Ovis aries: one gene and its partner. Each later gene encodes a partner of the first gene's protein in a complex. Links are inferred from orthologs where the notes say so. Each region holds a gene or a part of one and is shown on either strand. Other genes may lie near its edges.

Region 1 (3,914 bases):
AAAGCATGCACTCCACAGGTGTCCACTGAGCGCCTGCTGTTTGCAGTGCCAACAGCATCCAGAACAATGGGGACCCAGGAGCATCAATTTGAACTGTGTACCCATTCCACAGATGACTAAACAGAGGGATGGGGAAGCTAAAACACTCACCCAGATATTAAGCAGCAGGTTGAAACCACTCCTGTTGCCTCTGAGCTCACTGTGGTGGCCTCCAGCAAAGGGACATTTGTGTTTCCTGCGAGGCTACATTTTTAAGCACGTATCTTATGTGCTAAGACTCCGTGGTGGGAACATCAGGGTTCAGTGGAGCGGAGAAGCTCAGGGCCAGCTGGGAACCGGAGACTAAGCACTGAGCCTGAGCTTCTCCCCTCACTGGTCTGAAGTCTGGGCTGCTCGGCCTCACCCCCCTTCCTCAGTGCTCCCTTTCCCTCAGCTCCCTCTGGTATCTGTTCCTGATTCCCAGCCCAGCCAGGTCCCTCTACATCCTGCCAGGCTGGACCCTGAGGATGGAATCTGATGGTCCACGTTCAGGTGGTGATGACAGGCCTGGACCCTACCACCTGCACCCACAACAGCACATGGCCACTCCAGGGAGCTGGGTGCAGGAGACCACCCTGCACAGAGGCAGGCGGTACTTATCCTCTGCTTTCCGATCGCCTCAGTCACCCCCTCCCCCAGTTACTTGTGCTAGAGTAGAGCCCCTGGGAGCCCAGCTTCTGGCATCCCAGGAAGAAAGGGCGTCCCCCCACCTCAGCAGGAAGCCCACTGCTTGGGCAGGCTGGAAGCGACCCGGGGGCAGTTCCCTTGGGGAAGTGGGGCATAGGAAGCTGGGGAGACCCCGGAAAGAGGGGCGAGTTGCCTGAGAAGGGTGCCTGGAAAGAGCCAATATTCCTGGCGCACCCCGCTGGGATCCCAGTTCCCTGGGGCGCTCCTTCCAGTCCAGATGGTCCCTGAGAGTGCGCGGGGGTGATCAGCCAGCCCTGCCCCCTTGCGGGGCGGGGACAGTGGCAGGGGCCGCCTTCTCTCCCCTCCAGCGCCCCCCACGGCTGGGCGCGCCCGTCGCCGCCGGCTCAGTGGAGGCGCAGAGCTCGGGAGGGCGCTGGCGCTGCGGGAGGTGCGCGGAGCGAGGTGCGCGGAGAGCGCGAGCGAGAAGAGAGCGCGCCGGGCAGCCGGGCGTGCGCTCCTCTCGGCTCCACAGGCTTGCCTCGCGCAGCCCAAGCCCCAACCGGCCGGGCGCTCTCCGTGAGAACCGGTTCTGCCGCCCGGGGACCCGAGGAACCGTGGGATCGAAAATTCGGAGAAAGCCGGGAAAGCGCGGAGCCCGGAGGGAAGCTGCAACCCCCGGTGAGTGCGAGCGCCGAGCGCGCCAGGCTGGCACGGACCAGGTTGGCGCTCCCCGGCTCGACGGCGCGCCCCCTCGGCCTCTCACGCCCACCCCTCGGGCTCCCTCTATTCTGTCCCTGCCTGAAACGCACCCCCTCTCCCCCCGGCTTCCAGCAGCGGACCGGGAAAGCGCAGCAGCGCCCGACATGCGTCTCAACAGCTCGGCGCCCGGTCCCTGGGTCGGCCGGACCGACCACCCGTTCACGCAGCTGCCGTCGGTGCTGGAGGGGGTGCTCCTGGCTGCCGGCTTGGGCAATGGCTCTGGCAACCTGTCGGAGTCCGTACCAGCGGCCCCCAGCAGCGACCTGGATGTGAACACGGACATTTACTCCAAGGTGTTGGTGACCATTGTGTACCTGGCGCTCTTCGTGGTGGGCACGGTGGGCAACTCAGTGACTGCCTTCACGCTGGCGCGCAAGAAGTCGCTGCAGAACCTGCAGAGCACGGTGCACTACCACCTGGGCAGCCTCGCCCTGTCCGACCTGCTCATCCTGCTGCTGGCCATGCCTGTGGAGCTGTACAACTTTATCTGGGTGCACCACCCCTGGGCCTTCGGTGACGCCGTGTGCCGCGGCTACTACTTCCTTCGCGATGCCTGCACCTATGCCACTGCCCTCAACGTGGCCAGCCTGAGCGTGGAACGCTACCTGGCCATCTGCCACCCCTTCAAGGCCAAGACCCTCATGTCCCGCAGCCGCACCAAGAAGTTCATCAGCGCCGTCTGGCTGGCCTCCTGCCTCCTGGCTGTGCCTATGCTCTTCACCATGGGCCAGCAGAACCGCAGTGCTGACGGCCAGCACCCAGGCGGCCTGGTATGCACACCCATCGTGGGCACTGCCACAGTCAAGGTCGTCATCCAGGTGAGCAGCCTCTTCCAGGGGGCAGGGGCAGGAGTCAGAGGGCACCAGACCGGGATCTCCCCTGGGAGCAAGGGTCCAAGGCAGACATTCAGGGAAGCCTCAGTGCCTCATCCCAGAAGTAGTTTCCTGTCTGTGTGTCCTCTGGGTTCAGGAAGTTGGAGAAAATTTTGTGTCTCAAAGAAATTTTATTCCTATGAAGCTGGGAAGGAGTGGGGATGGGGGAGGAGCAGGGAACTTGAGAGCAGCCTGACCCCCGGCTTCTTCCCACCTTTTACTCCAGGGCTGCCAGGCCTCAGCCCCACTTATTTCATTCCCTCCTTCCATCAAAGGGGCTGGAAGCCCAGATTACCAACCTCCCTGAAGCCGAGGCTCCGTGGATGGGCCTCAGCCATCCCCAGAGCCCCTGAGGTGTAAGGCAAATGTGTGTGCTGGCGTCCTCTTTCCAGAGGAAGTCCCTCCCATCAGCTTCTCGAAAGGCTTTGTGCTCCCCACAGGTGTGGTCCCTCTCTTCTACAGCAGAACTCCTATCCCAGACTGCTCCCCCAGTGTCTCCTGGCCTGATGCTGTCTTGGGCTGGTTATTTAGTTTAACCTCAGTTTTCCTATCTGTGAAATGGGGCAATCACAGCCCTGGTCTCAGAAGGTACAGGATTCAAGAGAGAAGGTATGGGAGCCCTTGTCTGGCTCCTGGCAGGTAGAAGCAGTCAGAGGCGCTGTCCCTGGTGGTGGTGGTGATGTTGTTTCTGCTGGAAAATCCTAAGGTATTGGGCCTGGTGGCAGATTGGAGGGCCTGGAGTTGGGTGACCAACGCCCTCAGAGGGTCTGGGTGAAGCATGTGGGGACCCAGGTTGGAGACCTCCCTGGGCATTGGCTCAGCCAGGCAGGGGGATTCCGGCCCCAGGGAGATGGCTTCTCAGGCAGGGCCCTGGCCTGGGAGCAGCGTGTCCACCAGAGCAAGTCAGGGAAGAGATACCACCTGGAAGGACATGGTGGCCTCAGGATGTGGGTAGCCATGAAAGGGCGGGGGCTCCCTCCACCCCAGAGTGGGACGGGAGAGGAGGGTCTGGGCTGAGCCAGGTCGGGGTGGGAGTGGCCAGAGAGACTGGCTGTCCTGTCTGGTTGTCCTTTCACGCCCAAGTCATCAACAGCGTCTCAGTAGAACCCATGCTGCTGCCTCTGAGTGTGACAGAGGTGCCGGGCTCCGGGAGCTGGCATGCTTGGGGGTGGGGAACATGCCATCTGCACATCTATCCTGGGCTGCAACTGACCCTCCACAGGCCACTGCCGAGATGGAGCCAGTGGCAGAATTAAGCTCCAGGCTCCTCGCCTGCCCTGGCTCCAGGTGTTCCTGTGCGGAGGGGCCCCCAGCAGCCACGTGTAGCAGGAAGATGAGTCACAGGCGCTGCAGGCAGGAGCAACCAGGGTGCGTGTGGTGAAAGAGTGGGAATTACCTTCCGGCTTCCTCTGGGGTCTTGCAGGCTGTGCTGGGGCTGGGGAGTTGGGAGACAGCAGCCACGACACCTGGCTATGAAGGTGGAGCAGGTCAGTCATGCCCACCCAGGAGATGCTCCCCTGAGACCCCCTCCCCCTTAGACCCCTGTGGGCTGGTCCGGGAGCAGCCAGGGTCGGATCATCAAGAAAACACAGCCACAGAGAGAACCTCTCTTAAGCA
Region 2 (3,914 bases), on another chromosome or scaffold:
GTGAGTCGTGTTCAGTGCTGTGTGGCATGTAAAACATGTAAAACAAACTAAAAGTAATAAAAATATCAGCCATTGTTAAATTCCTAAATATTAAATTACATGAATGACTATTTTAAATTATTGTTAACAGTTGGAAATTGGTCCTTCTTCTTAGGTATAGGGTAAAATAGAGTAGCCAATACCATAGTCACATGCTATAGGGAATAAATCAACTCCCTGTAGTAATCAAGACTTCTTTTCTAGATTGTTACTATCTGATATGTTTCAGAAGTGAGCAACTCTCAGACCCCTTAACCTCAAATATTCACATTTCTAACAGCACCGTCTTTTCAGCTCACGTCATATATCCTGAAATACTTAATGCAAGAAGAAAACTTCACTCCAAAAAACATTTTGAGCAATTTTCTACTGATAACCCCGAGAGGGAATGAGTGTCATTGTAACTCATGTGAAGATGCTATCTTAGAAACAGGACTGGTGGACAGTGGTTATTTAGAATTGGCTCCTTTCCAGAAGCACAGTCTCATTTTGGGGACTGTCATGGGGAAGAAATCTGATACAATGGTGAGAGACAGTGAGAAGGGGGTTACAGACGGAACAGAATGTGGCAGCAAGAATGAATGTCAAAGGAAATGCAGACAGAAAAAGAGGAAAGTATCAGAAAACAGCAGTCAGTGATACAGCAATACATGCCTGCTGGCACATAAATGATTTATAGATGGATTTTGTAAATATGAAATTCTTTTTCTAAAACATTCAACCATAAGTCAGCATATGTAATTCAATCATCCTTCCAGTTACTTGTATAGATTTTACGATTTGTTAGGAAATAATACTCTTAGAGCTACTAGTCTCCCTTAAAATTCGTTTTCTCTACTTTCTCTAAATTTTCTTGCTTAACCTAGTATTATAACTGATTCTCTGCTTATCTTCCACCTCCTTTCTTCTTCCAGAGCATTGGCAACAGTATATAGCAGAACTATATTATTCCTGAAACCACAAAACACTTGTTCAAAAGTGTGGATTATCAGAAAAGAATCCTAACTCTTTAATAACTTCCAAACCTAAAGAATCACTGACTTTAGGCATTCATCCTGGAGATTTTACTCACACTAGAAATAACAGATCTTATGCTTCACAAAATCAGAATGACAACTTCTTAGAGTCAGAGAATGAGAGGAAATGGGGGAAAGAATAGTACTGGAAGTTCTTTTCCAGTATGCTCTATATGGAATTGCTTTTGAATGACTCCTTTTGTGCGTCATTAATCTGGAGCAGTGGTGGCAATTAGGGAAGATGTCACTGTTCCTGGAGGTTCAGAAGTGGGGGGGAGGTGTGAGGGGACAAAGGAAAAGGGGAGGAGGAAGTGGGGTGGGCTGGAGATGAAGGGTACATCGTGAAGAGATAATCTCTGTGCTCGTGACATCATCTCCTGCATGTATATATACAGGGAATGGCCAAAGCATCGCTCATAGTTCAGTACTTCCAAAGTCAGCTGTGCTAGAGAGCCCCCTTCAGCCTGCCCCTGACGCTTATGAACTTGGCTTGCTAGAAGGCTCAAGATGATGGGAGGAATGAAAATCCAGCTGCTGTGTGTGATGCTCCTGGCTTTCAGCTCCTGGAGTCTGTGCTCAGGTAAGCTCAGCTATATTTCACAACTCCTTGAAATGATATCTTTTTCTGTTTTTGCAATGTGTTGTTACTATGTTAATATATCTGGGGAGAAGAGTTTCTCCCTTATTCTGATTTGCTTTTTAGTGATAGAAACTGTATGTTTTCTTTCTCTGTCTTTATGATTACAAGAATTGAGAATTTTCCTTTCCCTTTTAAAATTTGCTAGGTAGTGAAAGGGATTTCAATAAGACACTTCATGTTCCCATTTGCAATGTAATCACTAGGAAAAAAAATGTAAAACTTAAGCTGATCTAATGAAAAGTACAGAAGTGGTGCCTGTCAAAATGCAAACTCATAATTCAAACTGATTCTATATGAAATGTTTTATATCATCTTCATTCACTCTCTTAAGACATGGTGGCTTCTCCCTTTCAAAAATTATTTTCTTCATAGTGTGTGTATTAAGATAAAATGAATATTGATGTTTAATGAATCAACAGAATAAAGCATTATTTGTAGAAAATGATCTCTAGGAAAATACAAAAAAATGCCAAGCTTTTTTTAAGAATATATTTTAAATAACTTTTTTTCTGTGACAGGTAGACATATTACAAATTTCACTATTTTCTTGCATGTCATTTAAGTTAATACATAATGTAACTAGAATAATATTATTCTTATATTGATAAAATTATTTCCCTATAGTGTATTTTGCATGTATAATTAAGAAGAAGTCATACATTGCTAAATATCTATCAATAGCTTACCTTGAAAATAAATTTCAAATTTTAGAGAGTAATATGAAATATAATGGTTGCAATATGCTCCAATTAATGTTTGAAAAATAATTGAATGATCACATCAAGGTGAAAAAAAAAAACAAGGGATAAGTTTAGCAAAAATCATTTAACTTGTTTTATACTGTAATGTCATAAATATGACACTGAAATGTTTAATTCAAATTCCTGCTCTGATTTTCATTTAGTGTTCCATAACATTATTTCTATTACCTTATGTATTTTCCAAGATTTTCTTCTCTGTGAAATATTTATTAGTGGAAGCTGAAAGGGTGTTCTAAAAAATATCAGAAGTCCATTTTCAACACTCTTGTACATGTATTGGTGGACATCTTTACTTTTGCTTAAATGATTTTTTAATAGCCTGTGATAAAATTGCCAAGTATACATAATTCTAAATCCTTGCTAATATAGAGAAACAAATCTTTCCAAGTGTGTTTTGTAAAATAGCATCTCAAATAAAATAAATCTCAGTGTCTTTCTTATTCCAAAATTATCAATAAGTAACTTCCTTTGGTTTTGTCTTTAAAAATCATCTTGTACTTACCTTTTCATTATGTTGCTTTGAAAATATCAATATGTATATACTCTATATATATGTAAACTACTGCCAGTAAAAATTAACCAGCATATTTGATGACATCTGTGTAGTATAATCAGGTTTTATTATCCTGAGATTCAGAGATTTAACAACTCCAAATCATCAAGAGCTCTCTTGGCATAAAATCATGTGCCTATTTTCATAAAAGTGCTTCTATTGTTGTGTTCTGTTAGCCTAAAATAAAACTATAATTGTTTTTTTTGTAAATATTACTATAAAGAGAATAAATACATAGCAAAGACAATAAACTTCTAAGACAAAGTTTTTTGAGATTAATCTTAAGTATTCAAGTTATAATTATATGATATGTGGTTATATAGTAAACATGTGCTTTTGATTTTACTCAGATTCAGAAGAGGAAATGAAAGCGTTAGAAACAGATTTATTGACCAATATGCATACATCAAAGGTAACTTTTTCTTTCTTTCTAAACCAAAGCCTGAAAACATATGAACTCTTGTTATAAACATGGTGTCCTCTTCCTATAGTAATAACTTCCCATTGAGACTGAAAAGCTCATTGGGAAGCATTTCCTTTTGGTGGAAACTGTTCCTTAAGTTCAAAGGACTTAAGGGTATCGATGTGGCAGGGACAGAAGTTTAGTGATATCAATCACTACATTGCAAATTTAATTAAGTAGTCACATATTATTTGTGTGGAAATCCTCTCTCCATTTCAATCACATTATATATGATGAAAGATACACTGACTTCAAGTTAAAGACATAAATGAAAATTAAGTGACATTTTTGCCTTTTGTTTTGCTACTGGGGAGAGTGAAATGGAGTTCCTAAATTAAGAATGAAAGTTTGTGAAATCCATGAAGAAATGAGACAGAAAGTAAAGAGCAAAGACCGGCAGACAGAAACCTGGAGATCTAAGCCTGCAGCTGTGACTTGTGAA

The links.
Region 2: the proteins of NTSR1 (region 1) and NTS are in contact, whole or in part, in a crystal structure (PDB 4BUO), measured with the Rattus norvegicus proteins. The link is inferred for Ovis aries from reciprocal best matches to the Homo sapiens genes NTSR1 and NTS. Residues at the interface, in NP_001102437.1 of Rattus norvegicus: Ser53, Asp54, Leu55, Asp56, Asn58, Phe128, His132, His133, Tyr146, Met208, Val224, Cys225, Thr226, Pro227, Ile238, Arg327, Arg328, Phe331, Cys332, Tyr333, Ile334, Ser335, Asp336, Trp339, Phe344, Tyr347, His348, Tyr351; in NP_001095851.1 of Rattus norvegicus: Arg157, Arg158, Pro159, Tyr160, Ile161, Leu162.

The regions. Positions count from the first base shown.
Region 1 is NC_056066.1:54,354,374-54,358,287, reverse strand, and holds the start of NTSR1 (neurotensin receptor type 1), read left to right. Parts: upstream 1-1,083; 5' UTR 1,084-1,529; coding exon 1,530-2,243; intron 2,244-3,914. UniProt on the Homo sapiens protein: G-protein coupled receptor for the tridecapeptide neurotensin (NTS). Signaling is effected via G proteins that activate a phosphatidylinositol-calcium second messenger system.
Region 2 is NC_056056.1:122,104,978-122,108,891, forward strand, and holds the start of NTS (neurotensin/neuromedin N), read left to right. Parts: upstream 1-1,471; 5' UTR 1,472-1,562; coding exon 1,563-1,635; intron 1,636-3,359; coding exon 3,360-3,421; intron 3,422-3,914. UniProt on the Homo sapiens protein: Neurotensin may play an endocrine or paracrine role in the regulation of fat metabolism. It causes contraction of smooth muscle.